Rattus norvegicus: one gene and its partners. The protein of the gene in region 1 interacts with the protein of each later gene in a pairwise test. Links are inferred from orthologs where the notes say so. Each region holds a gene or a part of one and is shown on either strand. Other genes may lie near its edges.

Region 1 (3,748 bases):
TGAGATGGTGAAGCTGAGGGGTGGAGCAGCCTGAGGAAGAGGACGAGGCTGGAACGTGTTCAGTCTGAAGTGCCCAACAGATGTCTAAATTAAGGCAGCGAACCAGCAAGTGGGTGTGCAAAACAATCGCTGGACTGCAGATAGATGACTGGAAGCTTGTAACTTCATTGCTCCAAAGAAAGAGTCGAAATGAGTTTAAATAAGCAAACACACAGGGAGAAATTTTTATTGTATAGAAACAGAGAATCTACTTTTTCAAAGAAAAGCAGTTTGGGGTCACTGATGACTAGTAGGGTTAGGGAACTTACTAGAAACTTAGTAGTAAATGCCTTTGCTACAATCACCAAAGCCTTCCATACTTTGTAAGTTCTGCAGATCTGATCCTGTCCAGTACTGGATGACTTGTTACCACACCAATGTTTACTTAACCCACCCACCAGGAAGAGAGAAGAGCAGCGACCACCTAACTGCTGCTCTCCAGCAGTCTCTACCAACTCACCACTTCCACAACCTCTGCAGTCCGCCCCGGACAGGACAGTCATTAGCAGGTTCTGTAGTTCTCAAATTGCGTTTGGTGATTTGGTTCTTTAAAGGCACACCTGCAGCCAAAGGGAAATAACTGCCTAACTATGGGGCGGGAGAGGCTATCAGAAATAGCTGCAATCTGTGTGGTATGACTTGATGAAGGGGGTGGGGGATTCTCTCTTCAGATTCCTGAAATTCCACCATTATTATGGAAGATGCAAGAAAAATGCCTAACTTAACTTTGGATGGGCAGTAATCCGGAGAAATAAGAAACCGTAGATGAGACAAGAAGGAGATGAGTTAAAAGACTAGCACATTACACACGCACGCACACACATGCGTGCATACATGTACACATGCAGCACGCACACATGCTCACATGCAACATGCGCGCGCACACACACACACACACACACACACAGGGTGGGGGGAACGGCACATACCCCAGGATGGCATATATTTTGTTAGGATGAGTTCCACTTGGTCCACTCCTAACACCTAGCACCTGGTAGGCCCAGAATGCATTCATTTTCACCTTTCACCATTTGAGAAAGCAGACAGAACGCACCTCCCCTCCAAAAATAAAAATCCGAGATGAAAAATAAAGGACCAGTTCTGTTAATAGCCTTAATTTACTCTCCCAGGAATCACTTGTTGAGATAAAAAGGAATTTAAGCCATTCCTGTAGAGCCTAAAAGCTCGACGGGAGTGATATTTAGACAGCTCTTGTATCTCAAATTCCTGTGAATCAGGGGACCAAGGGGCCTACTGCAGAAGACAGCTGGGCCCCCAGACCCCAAGCCAAGAGGCGCGCCTTCCCGCATGGTTGGAAGCCTGGGCAGGGCGCTTGCGCCTCCCTCTCTCTCCTCCGCCCCCCTTCGCCCTACTTCTCCTCCCTTTCTCCTCCTCCTGTGGCTGCTGCTGCTGCCAGACCTCGCCAGTTCAGACCCACCAGACTGCCCTCCCCTGCGCACTCCTTCGCTGCCGGGGCTGGATTGCCGCGCGGCTCCCCGCAGGTAGGAGCCCCCAGCCAAGGTCGCAGAAGTGCATTGTACCGGCAGGGACTGTACCGGGAAGTGTGGTGGGTTGACCCAAGAACTGTCCCTGACTGTGCAACTGGGCAGAGAAGATGGAGGTGGAGGTGCGGGTCTGGGATAGCAATCTGTCAGTTTGTGCTAGTACTTGGGTGACATTTGTTGGGATGGGCAGAGTATGCGAGCTGATTCTCAACACAGAGAGTTTTGCTGGTGACCATGGTCTCTAGGTTCAGCGACTGATGTACTTGAAAGGCACCTGGATTGCCCAGAGGCTGGCTAAAAGTTAAAGGGCTCAGCAATTCCTGCTGGCAGGCGCCTAGTAGCTTGCATCTAAGAATGCTGAGCTCACTGCCCTGCAGACACCAGGCTAGGCACCTCAAAATTGGTACCCAGTGCTGCAAAGCGGTCTGAAGTCCGACCTTAGACAGCCTAGAGCCTATGCATAGCACATTTTGAGACCTGAGAACGATGGAACAAGGGATCAGCGACTTTGAGCTGCTGGTCTCCGAAGTCCTGAGCTTGGAAACAAAGTTGTACGTGAGCGCGCGCGGATGGAAATGGAGCTTTAAGGGTGGGGACTAGAGAAGTCACCCTGCGGTGAGTGTGAATCCCTGTAGGGTATTCTATCAGGAACTAAGAGATCGCTCTTCCAGTTTTGTTTGGGTATTTTGAACTTTTCTTAAAGGGCAATAAAGTCTGCGGCCACGTGACTGTACTGGTTTGCAGGTATCTTTTGCTGAGCTGGGCACGGAACTTCAGCTAGAGGTGAGCCTTGCATGGGCACTCTACAGTTTCCAAAAACAGACAGATGCTGCGGCCCTATTTCCACTTCCGAGGGGACAAAGGGATGGAAATGATCACATTCTCTATCCCCTTTGACTACTGTTGTTTCCTGGAGCCTAATGAGTAGTATAAACACACGCCGAACAACCCTGGTACAGGATGGTTGGAATGAAGTAATACAGTTCTGCAGTAGCTTCTTCTCCTGTCTTGCTTATTTGTTGGCTGGGGTGGGGGTGAGATAGCAGACTGGAAATTAGGTATCTTGGGCTTCCCACACTCCTTTTTTTTTTTGCCTGTTTCTTCACTGATAAAGTTTGGATTTTCTGTGTAGCTAATACTAAACGTCTCTTTGTCCCATTTCCCTTAGAGAATCACGATGTTGCAAACAGTTTTCCTAACTATGCTGACTCTGGCTCTGGTCAAGTCACAGGTCACGGAGGAAACCATTACATACACGGTAAGAGGTGATGGAATTGTATTGGAGTGTATTGAGTGGTAGTCTATGATACAAGACTTGACCAGTTTCTGCCAGGGTAAGTAGGCAGTACTCTGTGAAGCAAAATAAATTAAACAACACTTTAAGATGATTCAGATTTAAGATTCCTGATAAATTGCTCTGGGTCCTTTCAAAGGTGCGTTTAGCTCACCAGCTGGGGTAGGAATCAAACTAGAATGGTTTGTACAAAGCCAAAAATTGACTCTATTAAAATTCAAATCTATGTAAGCTGCATGTTTCTAACCACTCAATGAATTGATGGGTTTGAGGACTCTGGATGCCTGGGTACATTCAGATGCAATTGGTTCGTGCAGAGTAACACTCAGATCAAATAAAAGTGTATTTTATAAGTTCTCATCTGTGCCTATCCCCGTGAAGTGCTCCTTCTCGGATTCATGAAGGCTATCTATTCATGTAGGAATACTACAGATAGTTTACCTGTCACTGGGAGACAGCATTTGCTAAAGTAGATTTAAAACACACTGTGTGCATCCTGGTCTTGCAACTTCTATCTGCATCTCTGGCAATTTTCAGTCACATTTGGTCAGTTAGTTGCATCAGTATAACCAATGTTGAATAAAATATTTAAAATATCATCTGACCCCTCCCACTGCCCAAAATATACCTGACAGTAGGGGGCAAAGCAGGGCTTACCTGACTGGGGTGAGGCCAGTTCCTCTGTGTTGTTTTCTAACTCAAGGTAAGTGTTCTCAGATGAATGACATTTGTCCCGGGTGAGCATATGGAAAACACATTTTCCCACTTCTTTCCAATTCTTAAAATTAAGTAATCCTATTCAAAAGAATGCAAATGTTTTTAGAGTAAAACTCAGAAGTGAGCTAATATCAATTACTAATAATAAACATTATCTCACTTTTGCATCATGTTATCCCTAGAATAGTATTAC
Region 2 (3,648 bases), on another chromosome or scaffold:
ATACCACTCCCAAAAAGAGTAGCCTTGAAAGGCTAGATGAAGTCTCAAGTCAAAATTCTTTGATGTCGAATTACACTGTCAGTTCTTTGAAGAAAGACTTGACAGCAGACCCTCACTAATGAAGTTCTTCAGAAGGTGCTTCCTTCCTAGCTCTCCCTTGACCACTCCTATCTTTATACACAAACTTTCTCAAGACAAGCCAAACCACCTAGAACTCGTCACCTACACTAGAGTCCAGTCTCCAGAGACTTCATTATGTATTTGGAAAAACTCCAAAATCTGAGGGGAGGGGGGATTCCCAAACACTAAAGGAGAGTTCACACAATTGACACTTAACCTGTTCTATAACCAGGTGACTCTTAGGAATCTACACCGTTTTCTAAGCATGGTGGAACACATCACTAATCACAGCACTTGGGAGGCAGAGGCAGGCAGACCTCTGTAAGCTGGAGACCAGCCTGGTCTATACAGTGAGCTCTAGGCCAGGCAGAGATGTACAATGAGACCCTATCTCAAACAAAACAAAAACCAACAACCACAAAAACCAGAGAAAATTAAATGCCATCAATAGTCATGCCTGTACCATACAGCTCTTCTGAACCAGACTCTGAGTAAGAAATCTCCACCGGAAGCTCCCTTCATTGCCTCAGTAGAAATTAGCTCATTAGCACTGGGTGCTCTAAGTTTCCGGCTGTTAACTCTAGACTGAAAAGTCTAGCACACATGCTCCTTAACTGAGGACCTACCCTTAGGTCGTTTTCCTAATACCATCTCCTGGTTCCACAGTAGTACCAGAAGAATGAATTAAATGAAGACCTTATTAAATCTGTTAACCAAATTGTTAACACATCAAGGACCCAAGAGACTGACAACAGATAGTAGCACATATTAATGAAGCCACATTAGACATGGAGGCCTTGGAGTACAATGCTTTGAGAATGAGAAATGAGTAGTGGGAGAAGCTTGGCAAAGTAAACAGAAGCACAGACCCTGGTCAAGAACCACAGCCTCTCCAACATTACAATCTTACTTTCTCCCTGCTTAGAGGATAGAGAATATGTATTTCCTTACTGGTACTAGAAATTTCTTGACTTCTTCCATAGCATGGGCCATAAGAGCATAAGCTTCACATGGGGGTCCAAAGACTTCAATGAAGACATGCAGATCCATATTTAAATGGGCATATTTGGGGTCTCCACCCTTGCGCAACTCTTCCTCCTATGGGAACAAGCAAAGAAATATCAACTCATATACAGACTAAACAAATACAGTATCTTCACATGTAAGTCAAAGAGAATAGCTTAAAAAACAAAACAAAACCCTTAAGCAAGTCCTAGAACTGATACTACCTGTTAAAACTGTAACTGATGTAGTGATTTAAATATGCTTGGCCAATGGGTACTATTAAGAGGTGTGGCCTTTTTGGGATAGGTATGACTCCCCCCCATTTTTTTTTTTTTTTTTTGGTTCTTTTTTTTGGAGCTGGGGACCGAACCCAGGGCCTTGCGCTTCCTAGGCAAGCGCTCTACTACTGAGCTAAATCCCCAACCCGCCCCCATTTTTATTAAATTGGGTATTTCTTATTCACATTTCAAATGTTATTCACTTTCCTGGTTTCCTGTCCATCATCCCCCTAATCCCTCCCACTCCCCTTCGATAAGGGTGTTCCCCTCCCCATCCATTCCCCCTTACTGCACCACCCCCACACACAATCCCCTACACTGGGGGGGTCTAACCTTGGCAGAACCAAGGGCTTCCCCTTCCACTGGTGCCCCAACAAGGTTATTCACTGCTACCTATGCAGTTGGAGCCCAGGGTCAGTCCTAGGGATAACCTTCTAAGAGGAAGTATGTCACTGTGTAGGTGGGCTTTGAGGGTTTCTAGTGCTCAAGCTCCTCCCAGTGTAGAACAGAGTCTCCTAAGATGTAGAACTCTCAGCTCCATCTCCAGCACCACGTCTGCCTACACACGGCCATGCTTCCCAAGATGATAATGGACTGCACCTCTGAAACTGTAAGCCAGCCCCAATTAAATGTTTTCTTTTATGAGTTGCCTTAGTCATGGTGTCTCTTCACAGGAATAAAATCCTAACTAAGCTACTTGGTTGCCTGTTTCCTTAAACCACTGAAGTGTTCCCTGCAGTAAATTAAAACTTAATTTTAGAATCCACTCAGGTTAACAGTTGTTTGCTCAGTATTTAGTGTATGAATGCACGTATGCACTCATGGCCAAGCACTAGTCTTTAAATTCATTAGTACTCTTTATCACCACTGGCCTTGCTAAAGTGTTTACTGTCCAGGAGTTCCAAGGAAGGGACAAAGTCAGGACAGACAAGAAAATCTTTTAGAAATCTCATTAACAAAAATAACACACTTCAGACTCGTTCTATGTATCCAGTGTGAAAGGTAAAGGACAAAAGAAAAAGATGAGGAAAATAAGACCTATCAATTAAACTACCTAAAAGTTAGGCCCTCAAAAATATTTTTCTAGGGGTTGGGGATTTAGCTCAGTGGTAAGGCACTAGCCTAGCAAGCGCAAGGCCCTGGGTTCAGTCCCCAGCTCAAAAAAAAAAAAAGGAAAAAATATTTTTCTAGATTTATCAGTTAAGTCTTATCTAAGGGTAAACTATTACATGTGCTAAAAGTTTCTTGTCAATTGATTGCACACTGGGTAGAGTGCTGTGGAATGGAAAATAAAAAATAAAAACCCTTAAATAGGTTTTCTTTGTCAGGATAAGTCATGTTTAACTTTGGAATCTATCATTTTAGTAGGTCTTACATTCCTGTTGGCTAGATTTCAAATGATCTAACCCCAAACTCACCAGCATTGAACACGTATTCCCTGTCACTGGGAAAAAAGGTGCACTACTCACATTTTAATGTCTTCCATTGGGGCTGGAGAGATGGCTCAGTGGTTAGGAGCACTGACTGCTCTTCCAGAGGTCCTGAGTTCAATTCCCAGCAACCACATGGTGGCTCACAACCATTTGTAATGGAACCCGATGCCCTCTTCTGGTGTGTGTCTGAGGACAGCTACAGTGTACTCATATATAATAAATAAATAAACCTTAATGTCTTCCATATGGTTAAGTTTACTAAGTTCTCATTTCAAATTTCAAGAGGCAGTCTTACCAACGCCAACAATGCTACTTAATTATACCATAATATCATAATGCAGTCAAAAGAAAAAAACAAAAAAACAAAACAGAAACAAAAATGCTGGAGAGACAGATAGCTTAATGGTAAATAGCACTGAGTTCAATTCCCAGAACCCTCATGATGGCTTCTGTCTATAACTGTAGCCCTGTGGGATCTGATGCTCTCTTCTGGTGTGTAGATGTAAATGCACACAAAACAACCATATACATAAAATAAACACATTAAAAGGGGGAAGGGAACCATTAGGACATATCCTAGGCTCTTTCCAACAGTGCCAGTGAGTACTAACATGCAATGAAAGCTTGCATCAGTCATTGTATGCTGTGGGGGTGGGGCACAGTGGTGCATGTCTTTAACCCTAGCACATGGGAGGCAGAGGCAGGCAGATCTTTGATACCAGCCTGGTCTTTACAGCAAGTTCCAGGCCAGCCTGGATACACAGTGGGACACTGTATCTCAACAGCTCCCAAATAAACCTCCCAATGTTTGC
Region 3 (3,748 bases), on another chromosome or scaffold:
CTACAGAGTGAGTTGTAGGACAGCCAGGGCTACTGTCTCAAAAAAAAAAAAAAAAAACATAAAAAATAAAAAATGCAGAGGGACAAAACTGATGTCACCTCTGGCTGCCTATATATAGAAACAGTTGGAGGCTGAGGGTCACAAGCAAGAACCAAAGGCTTCTGAGAACCACTTAACAGGACCACAGAGACCTAAAAGGTAACTGTCACCTTAGTAGACCCTGAGAGGCTTGTTTTTCTTTGGTAATCAGCAGCAGCAGGGTTCACACACATGGTGTGTCCGCAAGCTTCTGAGAGGACCTGACTGAGCGGCCACCATCTAGCTATACCACGGAGAATCAGAAGACCTGTCCTGGATATACCATCAAGCTGAGCTCTACTTGCCAGTACCAATGGTGCAGAAACAGTAGCCATAACTGGTACCCAAGCCCCTGGGCATCCACATAGCAGGTCCCCCTCCTACCTGGTGCAGACGCTTCTCTAGGAAGGCAAGGAGGGCATTGATCACATCCATATTAACTCCCATAAACTCTAAGGATCCTTCGTGTAGCTCCAGAGCGAGAAGGACATCCAAACATTTGAGGGGCAGGTTCCCCAGGAGATTCACGGTGTGGCTGGGGACAGACAGAGGCCTTGACACAGTAACCATATTTAGCACAGATACAATCCCTGGCCCTTCTCCTGGGGTACACATGATATGTGGGCCCGAAGGATAGCACTGAGGCAAGGGCAGTTGGTACCCCAACTCGAGTTTGGTGGGGAAACACTGTAGACTCTATCTGCACCATTCTGTCTGAGCTGAGATGCCAAGCAATCTCTCAGTTTCGAGAGACTGGCTGAGGCACCAGCAAGAGACCATGCGGCCTCCACCTAAGGCCCTGTCTCTAAGTTCAAAACTCTTCTTAGTCATACCCTGAGTTCCCTAGGCTCTCTGAAAACACACCGGGATCCCGTTCCCCATGATGTCACACTCAAAGGTGGGGCCCGGGCTCCCAGGTGCTTGAGTCACAGCTAGGGTTAAGGACTTCTGTACCCATACCTAGGCAACTCCTGCCATCCCCAACATAGTAAGTCCTGCTCCTCACCCATGGAACTCCTCTGTGCGGTCTCCAGCAGCATCAGCCATCACACAGTGCCGCAGAAGGGTCCCCAGGTACCGGTAAAGGGCAGCGTCCTCCTAGCCAAAGACGGAAAGGGGCTCCCGTGAGAATAAGACCCTATTCTTATGACCCAAGGCCACATGGTGATCACTAGGCCCTGTCCACAGCACACTTGGTCACCTGAAGCATTATGGAGAATACCCGTCCCCAGCCCCATGCACAACACAGCTCAGAAACCTTGAGTTCCTGCCTAGATTGTCCTCTAGTCCTTGCCATATCCGACACCCTGCAACTTGAGGCACACAGGGAAGCAAACCCACAAAATGCCCCAGCTGAGCTGAGTCCCACCCATTGACTTCAGACTACAACCTACCTCATCAACCTCCCTCTTAACAGAGTCGTAGGTGATGTTAAAGAGCACTTTGAGGATTTCCATGGCCCGCTCTGTCTCTTGGGCTGGAAGTATCACCAGAGGGTTTTCTTTGGGGGCCACACCCAATGTCAGTTCCAGCGCATCGGTCAGCAGGCGCACGCCATGCAGCTCCTGAAACAGCTGCTGGCGCACATCAGTGCGAAGGGCTGTTAGCAGGAAAAGGAGCCTTAAGTCAAAGAACTGGACTTCGTGGGGATAGCTCCTTTTGCGGTACAGTCCCACACGTTCCGCTAGCCTCACCACCAGTCGAGCCTCTGCTGCTAGCATCTGTGCTGTAGGACTGCTGAGCACAAGATTACACAGGCATTTGAGAGACTCGAGGAGGACATCCATGTCTGGGGGCTGTGGGATGGGCTCCTCTGAGATGGCAATGTCGGCATAGCAGGCTAGTGCGTGTAAACTCTGGCGGCTAGCAAATGAGTCCAGGCAGCTGCGGTCTCGGGATAGGATTCGGATAGTCTGCAGCCAGGTGACACGGTGTTTTGGTGACAAGCCCTGCTCCAGTACGGAGACCAGCAGCTTTGCGAGTCTCTGTGGGAAGGGACAAAAATGGTTCCACTAGGCCCTCTTCTTGGGGCAGCCCGTGCTTGCCCTAGGAACCCCCTTGGGCTGACACCTACCTTCCTGTCCTCCTGCTGTGCATCATCGAAGGTGAAGCTCTGGGAATGCTGCAGGGAGACCCAGGAAGCTCAGTTCCACACGCAGGTAGGACCTGTGCTCCTCGAGAAGCAGCAGGTCTGCTTCTACCTCTGAAGCAGCAGCCATCGCTGTGTACGTAAAGCAAGGCCCACCCTCGCCACCCATACACCTGACTACCACAGAGGCACCGCCGTGGCCCAGCCCACCACCCACCGCCCTGCTCCCTGCCACACTCGCACGCACACCCCAGCCGAGTGGCGAGCAACCGGCTGCTTCCTCACTTCCTGCAATTTCCTCGGCAGCTGGATGCCTCTCACCTCTCGGTTAAACGACCGCAGAGCTTCTGTCACCGCATCTTCCTCTCCCGTCTCCAAGGCATCCGCAACTGCCCGGGGCTCCATGGCCCCTGGCACGGGGTGCTAGAAGACTTGGGCTGGGAAGACGCAATCGGCCAAACCCGGGGACTCCGCCCAGGTCCGGAAGCCCAGCGTCCACGCGTGAGGAATGCTGGGAGAACAGCCGAGCCTAGGGTGTGTACAGGCGCGGGGCTGGCCTCCGGCTTAAGGTGGAGCAACCCGGCTGTGGCCGCTGAGCGGCTTGTCTTGGAGCAGCGATGCTAGCTAACTAAGCAGTATCCTCCTTTTGAGCCCTTCTCTCTAGCCCGACTTCCTGGCGGGCGGGGGTGGGGAGTGGGGTGTGGCTTGGCCGGCGCGTAAACCTTTCTCCTTACACTCTTGTTCCCGTACTGTGATAAAAGAGGGAGCGCCGGCTCCTGGCCGCTTAGTCAGTTGGGGAAGACGATTCTCGCGGTCATCTTCCTGATGCTCATCTTCCACGGGAAATAAGGAAAGAGAAGTACGACTTGGATGGTCAAAATAATGTACGTGGTTAGCCGGGCATAGTAACGCACGCTTTTTTAAATTTCAGCACTCGAGAGGCAGAAACGGGCAGACCTATCTAAAAACAATCAAAAAACCAAACCACCAAAATAATGTGGTTATCAAAAGAAAAGGGCAATTGCAGAGTGTATGAGGAAGGATCGGAGAGAAGGAAGTGAAGAACACCGGTGGAAAAGCGACTCCCGCGGGAGGAGCAACGGAGGGGCGGCTAGCCGCGGCGTGTCTGGGGTTAGAAGCGTAGGAACGTTGTATAGTGGGGAGCCAGGTCTGCATGCCACTTAGCTTAAGGCAGAGTCGGTGCACCCCACGGTGACACAAGCAATGTTCCAGAGGATAATGCCGCCCGCTGTGCTAACCGGCGCTTGCCTCTACTCAGTGTCAGGTCCTTTGCCAGTCTCTTTCGCTTCTGCTCGTCCTCCCCATCCTGTCGTTCTCACTTGGGGACTTTGCAGCGCCCGAGGTACCCGACCCTCGGCTCCAGGTTGGGGTCTGAGCTCCTGCTCCGGGTAATACCCACAGCGCGGGACTAATACTGCTGACCAATCCGTAGGCCCGAATGCTGGCGGCCCGCCCTTCCCTTATTTACATTCCAGTGTAGAACTACAAGTCTGTTTCTTCCGCTTCAGACTCTTCTCCCGGAAGTTATTAGACCTGAGGCGGAACCGGAAGACCCAGGTA

The links.
Region 2: the proteins of Efemp1 (region 1) and Khdrbs1 interact in a two-hybrid assay, tested with the Homo sapiens proteins (2 studies listed by BioGRID and IntAct). The link is inferred for Rattus norvegicus from reciprocal best matches to the Homo sapiens genes EFEMP1 and KHDRBS1.
Region 3: the proteins of Efemp1 (region 1) and Ric8a interact in binary tests that used the Homo sapiens proteins (3 or more experiments, as listed by UniProt). The link is inferred for Rattus norvegicus from reciprocal best matches to the Homo sapiens genes EFEMP1 and RIC8A.

The regions. Positions count from the first base shown.
Region 1 is NC_086032.1:106,810,380-106,814,127, forward strand, and holds the start of Efemp1 (EGF-containing fibulin-like extracellular matrix protein 1 precursor), read left to right. Parts: upstream 1-1,484; 5' UTR 1,485-1,541; exon of another isoform or gene 1,542-1,606; intron 1,607-1,698; exon of another isoform or gene 1,699-2,159; intron 2,160-2,247; exon of another isoform or gene 2,248-2,288; 5' UTR 2,289-2,327; intron 2,328-2,712; 5' UTR 2,713-2,721; coding exon 2,722-2,802; intron 2,803-3,748. UniProt on the Homo sapiens protein: Binds EGFR, the EGF receptor, inducing EGFR autophosphorylation and the activation of downstream signaling pathways. May play a role in cell adhesion and migration. May function as a negative regulator of chondrocyte differentiation.
Region 2 is NC_086023.1:147,356,358-147,360,005, forward strand, and holds part of Khdrbs1 (KH domain-containing, RNA-binding, signal transduction-associated protein 1), read right to left. Parts: intron 1,219-3,648; coding exon 1,072-1,218; intron 1-1,071. UniProt on the Homo sapiens protein: Recruited and tyrosine phosphorylated by several receptor systems, for example the T-cell, leptin and insulin receptors. Once phosphorylated, functions as an adapter protein in signal transduction cascades by binding to SH2 and SH3 domain-containing proteins.
Region 3 is NC_086019.1:205,363,851-205,367,598, reverse strand, and holds the start of Ric8a (synembryn-A), read right to left. Parts: upstream 2,804-3,748; 5' UTR 2,573-2,803; coding exon 2,489-2,572; intron 2,300-2,488; exon of another isoform or gene 2,201-2,299; coding exon 2,153-2,200; intron 2,064-2,152; coding exon 1,473-2,063; intron 1,177-1,472; coding exon 1,085-1,176; intron 614-1,084; coding exon 463-613; intron 1-462.